2 linked regions of the Sus scrofa genome follow. The protein of the gene in region 1 interacts with the protein of each later gene in a pairwise test. Links are inferred from orthologs where the notes say so. Each region holds a gene or a part of one and is shown on either strand. Other genes may lie near its edges. The genes, in order: PFDN5 and PFDN2.

Region 1 (4,535 bases):
CGCTGGTGCCCAAAGCCCAACTCTGTTCAAGGGTCAACTGCAGCTGATTTGGAGTAGGCCCAGGTTTTCTTTTTAAATTCTCCAGGTACAGCCAAAGCTTTACTTGCCAGTAGATAGCTAGTTAGGGCTTTATTTCTTTCCTGTGTGTTCATTTACATGCATCTTTTTCCCTATTCCATCTACATTAAATAGGATCTCAAACACAAAAACACAGATGGGATTTCCTTTCTCTAAATTTCTCAAGCACTGAACCCAGGAATCTAGAAATAGCGGATATGTGATGCACAGCATCTAAAGAATAATACATCAAGACACCAAAGAGAAAACCATGGTTTTAATCCAACAAAGGGGACACCCGCCATGGTTCACGCTGCAATTCATGTTCTTGATTATTATGGAGGTAGAAATGGTGAAGAGGTGCCCAAGGCCAAGCTTACCCTGTTTCATGGCATGCTTCTCCTGCAGAGCTGGCTGGATTTTCTCCATTTGCTTGGTGAGGAAGTCTATCTTCCTCTTGAAGAAGTCCTTGGCATCTTCAGCTGTCTGGAAGGTCAGAGGTGAAGGAGGGGCTAAGAGGAGACCTCTTTGTGCACTCTGGATCTCTCCCTAAACTCCCTCTGCCTCCTCAGCGGGGCATCCATACGCTTCCTTCCACTCACCTTCTCTACATAGTAGCCAGTTCCCACATCGATGAGCACATGTTCCACATCATGCAACTTCCCAGGGACGTACATCTGAGAAGCGAGGATTAAGGGAAAACTAGCCCAGCATGAGTCCTGATTTCCTGTCGGCTCATCTGCTTGACCTCCTAAGAACCCCTTTTTCTAAAAACTTAAAAGGTACCGGGATCAGATAATCTGGAGGCCTACACACTCCAAAGGGGAGACACAGGGAAGTTGGTTCCTTATGGAGAAAATTACACATGCTGATCTTGCCCTGATCTCACTGCCACCCTCCAAGAAGTTCTTAGAGTTCTTCCCATTAGCCCTTCCAGAAAGACTAGATGGCTTTTTTTATTGTCTTTTTTAGGGCTGCACCCGCGGCATATGGAGGTTCCCAGGCTAGGGGTCAAATCGGAGCTGTAGCCACCGGCCTATGCCAGAGCCACAGCAACGCGGGATCCGAGCCGGGTCTGCAACCTACACCACAGCTCACGGCCACGCCGAATCCTTAACCCACTGAGCAAGGCCAGGGATCAAATCCGCAACCTCATGGTTCCTAGTCGGATTCATCAACCACTGAGTCATGATGGGAACTCCATAAAGACTAGATGCAGTGTTTCTTTTTTCTTTTTAGGGCCACACCTGCAGCATATGGAAGATCCTAGGCTAGGGGTTGATTCGGAGCTGCAGCTGCCAGCCTACACCACAGCTCACGGCAACACCAGATCCCCAACCCAGCGAGGGAGGCCAGGGTTAGTAGTGGATTGTTTCTGCTGCGCCACAATGGGAACTCCTGGAATGATTTTTCCTGATGCTGTTAAATAGTAAAAGTGAAAAGCCAGCCTCATTTCTCCTTTAACACTCCCAACCATGAAGTAGGTCATTCCCAATAGATTTAATGTTCCTTATCTAAGCAGTCCCTACTATGCGGCTATTCCTGTGTTTCTTTTTCAGCCTATCAATTCTCAGGTGCAGTTTATAGGTGCCCTGTTAACACAATTGGCTCATTCAAGTAAAACACTCAACAGATAGACACAATCCAGGCTTCTCAGTAACAACGGATTAGAAATAAGATCCACAATTAAACTAAAATTGAAGATTAATAAACAGAGCCAACCCCCTTGTCTCTATATCCTCTCTTCTTCCACTGCTTCTGTTTTCTAAGTTATTAGTAAAAAGGGTAGGGAGCTCCTGCTGCGGTGCAGCAGGTTAAAGACCCAGTGTTGTCTCTGAGGTGGCTCAGATTCAATCCCTGGCCCCGGAACTTCCACATGCTGCGGGTGAGGCAAAAGAACCCAAAAAACAAGTCAAAAGTGTAAACCACCAGTTTTATCTCCCTATTAGATTATATCCTCAAACAGCGAAGGAAAAAAATCACACCTCAATTCTACATACACCTTGGTGCTCACCAAACATTAGCTGGATGTTGGCTCCAATGAGATAGCAGAGCTACGAAGTGTGTACTGAGTATTCTCAGAATCTCTGGAGCAATTAGAACCTCTGCCCTTTTTTGCAGGGTAGGGGGTGAAGGAGAAAAGGAGTGGGCGGGGAAACAGTTCCTGCAGAAAGGATACAGAACTCGTCAGTGGGACGAGTAATTCTTTCCCTGTGAAAGCAATTAAGACAGACATGTAGGGAAGGTGGACTTCTCCAGCCTTTACACGTTCAAGGGAGTTTCAGCACCGCACAGCGCCCAGAGACTGTGCGATAAGTATGGAAATAGGGGCAACAGGAGAAGAATGTCCTGTACATTTCAAGTCTACCAAGGCAACATGCAAAGGGCTCCTGCAGCAGTATGCAATACGTAAAGGACCGTTCTCTCGTCTCAGATAAGGACAACTGGATAAGGAAGAGAGAGGAAAAGCCGGCTCGCCCCAACCCCCAGCTTGCCTTCACGCGCCTACCGCATACCCTCGTTGCTCTTGTTCAGCACGTTCAGACAGTCCTTGGCTTCCACATACTTGGTCTGTACCACCTTGAGCTGGGCAATGGACGTGGACAAGAACTCCACTTCCTAGAGAGAAGAGGAATGAGGGTTAGTACGGGGGCTGGTGGGAGAGGAGGGCACCGCCGGGAAGGGGCGGGTGCTGGGACCGAGTCGGGGTTTTGCCTGGGAAGGGAAACCTCCTCCCTCGGCTGGGGAAGAATGGGGAGCGAGGGAGTACGCGTGGCGGGAAGGAAGTGAGGTGGAAAGGGGTGTCTTTGGGGGCCTATTCCCACCTGGTCCAGCTGGTTCTTGAGCATTTCCAGCTGCGGCAGATTCAGCTCGGTAATGTTAACCGACTGCGCCATGTTGGGAAGGAGGACTAACGAAGCGGAAGCCGCCGGGTGAGCAACGCTCTAGCCGTCCTCTGCGCCTCTCGATGGCTACGCCGGGAGGCCTCGCTGCCCCCGACATCTCTATGGTCTTCCGTCCGGGAGCGGAGGAAGAGCTGGGTCTTCTCTGTGATTTACTTGCGTTGGAGTGGAAGAGACAGCGGCGCTTTCTTTTTTAAAGACCGAACTGGAGGCATATGGAGGTTCGTAAGCTGGGGGTCGAACTGGAACTGCAGCTACCGGCTTAAGCCACAGCAGCGCGGGATCCGAGCTGTGTCTGCGACCTACACCACAGCTCACTGCAACGGCCGATTCTTAACCCACTTAAATAAGGACTGGGATCGAGCCCGCAACCTCATGGATACTAGTCCGGTTCCTTATCGCTGAGCCACGATAGGAACTCCCAGGAGCGCTTTCATTACACAAAACATCCCAAGCCTAGCGTCGACAAGTTGCAGCAAACAGGATTCCTGTGAATTTAAGAATCTTTTTTTTTTTTGTCTTTTTGTTGTTGTTGTTGTTGTTATTGTTGTTGTTGTTGCTATTTCTTGGGCCGCTCCCCGCGGCACATGGAGGTTCCCAGGCTAGGGGTTGAATCGGAGCTGTAGCCACCGGCCTACGCCAGAGCCACAGCAACGCGGGATCCGAGCCGCGTCTGCAACCTACACCACAGCTCACGGCAACGCCGGATCGTTAACCCACTGAGCAAGGGCAGGGACCGAACCCGCAACCTCACGGTTCCTAGTCGGATTCGTTAACCACTGCGCCACGACGGGAACTCCTGAATTTAAGAATCTTAAAAAGAGTTCCCGTCGTGGCTCAGCAGAAACGAGTCTGGCTAGCATCTATGAGGACGCTGGTTCGCTCCCTGGTCTCGCTCAGCGGGTTAAAGATCCAGCATTGCCTGTGAGCTGTGGTGTAGGTCTCAGACGCGGCTGGGATCCCACGTTACTGTGGCTGTGGTCCGCAGCTACAGCTCCAATTTGACCCTTAGCCTGGGAACCTCCAAATGCTGCGGGTGCGCCCCCAAAAAGACCAAAAAAAAAAAAAAGTAAACCATGTGGGTGATATAAACCCTAGTGACAACTGGCAAGGAAGGAAGAAGCTTGTTAAGTTCTCTGGTCGTAAAAGGAGGCTTTGGGCAGATGAAGCGGGACTAGAGATGGAGTGGAGATGAGTGGGTGGAGAGAACACAAAGGAGGTACCTCATCAACCAACAAACACAGCAACAGGTTTGTTACTCAATAGTGTTACCATGTGCTAGAAGTGAGGAATACTGCTAAAGTGTATAGCACTGACAGCTTTAACAGTTGTATGTGGGGAGAACAGCAGCCTCTAGCATCCAGTTAGAAAGGGGACAGGACAACTGAGGCATTACAGCTAGTGTCACTCCCCAGATTCTGGAGGGCAGGAACACAGGATAGACATCAGAGTACCTGGCCAAGACTCTCTCTCGCTCTTTTTTTTTTTGTCTTTTTTTTTAGGTCCGCACTTGCAGCATAATGGAAAAGCTGTAGCCACAGCTGAGCCACACCTGCAAGCTACATTGCGACTCAA
Region 2 (4,392 bases), on another chromosome or scaffold:
ATTTGTAATACACACATGCCATCTCCTTCCATCTATTCACACATACACAAAAACATAAGGAGGGGTGTTCCCTGGTGGTGCAGTGGGTTAAGGATCCAGCACTGCCACAGCTTCAGCTGAGGTCTAGACTGGGGCTCAGATCTGATCCCTGGCCCGGGAGCTCCATGTGCTTCAGGACAGCTAAAAATGGGAAGAAAAAAAAAAAAAAATACATTCAAAAATGGTAAGGATAGTTATTTCTGGATAGTAGGATCATGGATAATTTATTTCTTATTTTGTAATTTTTCTTGTGTTTTCTACATTTTCTACATTAACGTGTATTATTTTACATAATAAGAAAAAAATCAGTAGTTCCTGCTGTGGTGCAGTGGAAACAAATCTGACTAATATTCATGAGGATATGGGTTCCATCCCTGCCTTGTTCAGCAGGTTGGGGACCCAGCATTGACATGGCTGTGGCTGTGGTGTAGGACCAACAGCTTTAACTCCAATTTGACCCCTAGCCTGGGAACTTCCATATGCCAAGGGTGCAGCCCTAAAAGGCAAACAAACAGACAAAAAAAAAAAAAAATCAACAGTATAACATGTATCATTCTATGACACCCTCACTGCTTATGTTAAAAAGTCCTAAATTCTTTGTCATGCAATGACTCAGCTTGTTTTAAGGACATCTTTCTGACTCATGATTTAGCAAAACAAATCAGTCACTGCACTCCATCTCAATCTATGCTTTCCCAGATCTCCCCTCCTTTCTTGATTCTCTATATTCTATTTCTACTGCCACCTGTTCCAATCTATCCAATCCTTCAGGCTCAGCTCAAATATCTCTAATATGATCATGGTACAAATAGAAAAAATAGGCCTGTCTAATTCACAAGTTCTGCATTTAAAAGCCCTGCTCTCCCAGTTACTGACTCTGAGTAAGTTAATTAAGTCTGAAACTCATCCTGACAATAATACAGCTACTTCAAATAGCAGTAATTAAATAACAGAAGATAAAACAAGTGCCTAGTTTGATGTGTTATTTGCTTCCATCTTGCCTATGTGGCTCAAATTTGCAGCAGTGACAATTATAATATTTTTTTTTACCCAGTGTTCTCTCTGGAACAAAAAGGTCAGAGAATATTAAGCAAGGAATGGCCTCAGAACTCAATTATCAAAATTCTTCAGTCTCTTTTGAGTTTCTTTTTCTCTACCATCACTTAACTATTGATTTCACTCTTATTCTACTTCTTTGTTCACTTTCTGTGCAAACTCTAGAGGATTTCCTCCACAACCATGGCTTTGTCCACTATCCATAAACTCATAATTCTCTAATCTGAAAGTAACAGTGAAAGGTAGAAATGTAATTCAAACACAGATCTGTCTGAACCCATTGCACTCCTTACACTCTTAGCCACCCCACTTTTCCACACTTCCCTTTACCACCCAATCCCCAATCTCAATCTCCTGCTTAGTTAGTTAGGGGTCCCTCCTCTAGCAGAAGGCCCAGTGAGGACACAGAGAACAGACCTGTGGTTGCCAAGGGGGAGAGGGGAGGGAGTGGGATAGACTGGCAGCTTGGGGTTAGTATATGCAAACTATTACATTTAGAATGGATATATGCAATCTCCTGGGATAGACCATGATGGAAAATAATATTTTTAAAAAGAATGTACCTATAGGTACCACTGAGTCACTTTGCTGTGCAGCAGAAACTGGTAAAACATTGTAAATCAACTATAATTTTAAAAAAGAAGAAAAAGCCCTGTGAAGAACACTGTAAAGCTTAATGTTTGGTTTCTTTTTGCAAATGAGTCTGTGAGCTAACCTGAAAACAAGGTTACAAGGCCGTATTTCATTTATGTTTCCCCATACCCAGCAGAATGTCTAACACACGGCAGACCCTCAAAAAGTATTAGGTTCCTTCTCCCTTGCCTTTTTCCCCCTAAGAGGAATTTTCTCTTCCCCCTTCCCCCAAATCCCATAGGGCTGTATATCTCTCTTCTACCTCATACTAGCATTTTCCCCTCCAGACTATGAACTCTGATTGCACGGGTCAATTTTTAAAATCTTTATGCAGATACCTCTGCTACAGTAACTGTTTAACAAATAACTGATAAATGAACCTATAACCAAAAAAGCTGTTGTTTTAACTACGTTTTCCTTTCTGTTACGCAGATTTCTTCCCACTCCAAGTAAACACTAGATCCACTATTAGTAAATCATGATTCCCAAGCAACAAAGGGCTTTCTGATTATTTTTCAATCGTTTCCGGATGCTAGGCACTGGGGAAATGTAAGCTCGGATTAGTAAAGGATTTCTGGTCTCTAAATAAATTCAGTGCAATAATGACTCCCGAATCAAAATAGTATGGAACACTAGACTATTCGCGTATGTGAGTCACGTGGCTCTGCGGAGTGACGACGGTTTTAAACGTGGTTTCAGGGTCACGTAACAGACTACACAATCAACCCGTTGACTAACTCCCTGGGATTCCTTATGAACTGGCCTTGCTCACCCACAGCCTGTTTGAGAGTGCGGAGGCAAAGTGGGGAAAGTGACCACCCTTCTTCCCTCAGACCTGTGCAACCTCCCAGACTCTGCTTCCCTAGAGCTTCCTCCCTCCCACCCCTCGGCTCACCCAACACCCCCAAGGGGGCGTGGCTTTCACCTACCAATCCGCCTATCTCTCCCCAAGGGCTCGGCTAGCTTCTACAAGGACCTTCCCCTCTCTGGGTGGCCACGCAAATGTGCGACTATAGTAAAGGCGTACACCAACCATAGGCTTCTCCCCTCTTCTCGCATCGACTCCGGACCCGGCCGGGTTGCCCTCCTTCGCATTCCCAGCTCCTCACCTGCTCGGCTGACACCGCCCCCTTCCCCGCGCCGCTCCCGCTGCTCTTGCCGGCGCGACTGCTGCTCTCCGCCATCTTCACCGCCTGCTGAGCTTCCGGCCTGCGCAGCTCGGCCCCCGCCTTGCGTCACGTCCGGTCTCGGAGTTACCGCCCACTCGCCCCCGGCGCCAGGCTCCTCTTCTTCCAGGCCCCTGTTCGGTTCGGATCCTGTTAATGGTTTTGGCCGTGCCTTCATGTAGGACCTGCTACCTAGCCCGCCCGCCGCGGTGAATTACACCTGTGGTGCTTTATCTTGTGCAACAGAGACGCTGCCCCTGAGAGAGTCTCCAGATGGGTTAACTGGAGAGCGGGGCGCGGGTTGGGATCTGGGTGCCAGTGCCCTCTGCCCACACAGCGGGTGGTGAGGCACGGGCGGCGGGGTGGGGTAGGGTGAACTTCTCAGAGATTCTGGTGGAAGGGGGAAAATATGCTTTGAGTCAGTAAAACTGTGCAGGTGCACAGTCAATAAGAGAGGCTGGGAAAATCAAGGAAATATCTCGAGGATGACTTTTGAACTGCGGAAACGTTTGGCTGAGAAAAAGGACTTCAGTTTAATGTGAGATCACTGGAAGTCGAGATATTCGAATGCTGCGCAGAGCCCTTTCCTCGATTTTCCCACTTTGTGCTCTCTTCCGGTAGCCGTGATTAACCATAGTTAACGAGTGTCTTAAAGACTTAGGGGTTTTTACCGGTGGTGCCCAGATTCAGCCTCACAGTATGAAGAGAGAAACCAAAGGATCTTAGAAATGTATTGCTTGATGGTGGGGTTGGTGTCCTGATTTCTCACCTTCTTCAGGCTGGGCTTCATCATCAGGCCTCCTCACCAGCTCCTGTCCCTTCTTTTGGGTCCTCGGCTCCGGATACTTCGACTCTCAATACTTTGTGCTCAGCCCAGGTAACATGTTTTGTTGTGTCCTCAGTGCCTGGCACATAGTAGATGCTCAATAAATGAATAGATGTTGGGAAACATTGGGGTGCCAGCCACTCACAGAACATTTGATCAGTGGGTCCTTATTGCATGGATCATTGTGCCTTGTAAGAGCAGGTTTAAAGGGAAGTCTAGCTTTCCTGCCTCCCCCTTTAAGCCCCTTATCATTAAACTCGGGCTTCCCCACTCTAGGAAATCTGAGTCTTGCCTGTGCCATTCACAGACCCAGATCCATGGCTATTTCCTCTTCCTCCTGGGACTTGCCCCTCGTGGCTGTGTGCCAGGTAACATCCACACCGGACAAGCAGCAGAACTTTAAAACATGTGCTGAGCTGGTTCGAGAGGCTGCCAGACTGGGCGCTTGCCTGGCTTTCCTGCCTGAGGCATTTGACTTCATTGGAAGGGACCCTGAAGAGACGCTACGCCTGTCTGAGCCACTGGGTGGGAAACTTTTGGGAGAATATACCCAGCTTGCCAGGTATCAGGGAAAGGGGGAGGGAGAGGTAGTTTCTTTTTGGGTAATATCGGAATTGCCAGATATGAGGGTAGAGACTTGAGAAGAGTTGTCAGTGTCCCCTCCCCCTCAGG

The links.
Region 2: the proteins of PFDN5 (region 1) and PFDN2 interact in binary tests that used the Homo sapiens proteins (3 or more experiments, as listed by UniProt). The link is inferred for Sus scrofa from reciprocal best matches to the Homo sapiens genes PFDN5 and PFDN2.

What each region holds. Positions count from the first base shown.
Region 1 is NC_010447.5:18,511,138-18,515,672, reverse strand, and holds the start of PFDN5 (prefoldin subunit 5), read right to left. Parts: upstream 3,037-4,535; 5' UTR 2,955-3,036; coding exon 2,883-2,954; intron 2,677-2,882; coding exon 2,574-2,676; intron 2,269-2,573; coding exon 2,237-2,268; intron 735-2,236; coding exon 660-734; intron 544-659; coding exon 438-543; intron 1-437. UniProt on the Homo sapiens protein: Binds specifically to cytosolic chaperonin (c-CPN) and transfers target proteins to it. Binds to nascent polypeptide chain and promotes folding in an environment in which there are many competing pathways for nonnative proteins.
Region 2 is NC_010446.5:89,325,360-89,329,751, reverse strand, and holds the start of PFDN2 (prefoldin subunit 2), read right to left. Parts: upstream 2,972-4,392; 5' UTR 2,913-2,971; coding exon 2,838-2,912; exon of another isoform or gene 2,695-2,837; intron 1-2,694. Other genes in the region: NIT1 (nitrilase homolog 1), read left to right, coding at 3,051-3,103, 3,673-3,771, 4,028-4,282, 4,392-4,392. UniProt on the Homo sapiens protein: Binds specifically to cytosolic chaperonin (c-CPN) and transfers target proteins to it. Binds to nascent polypeptide chain and promotes folding in an environment in which there are many competing pathways for nonnative proteins.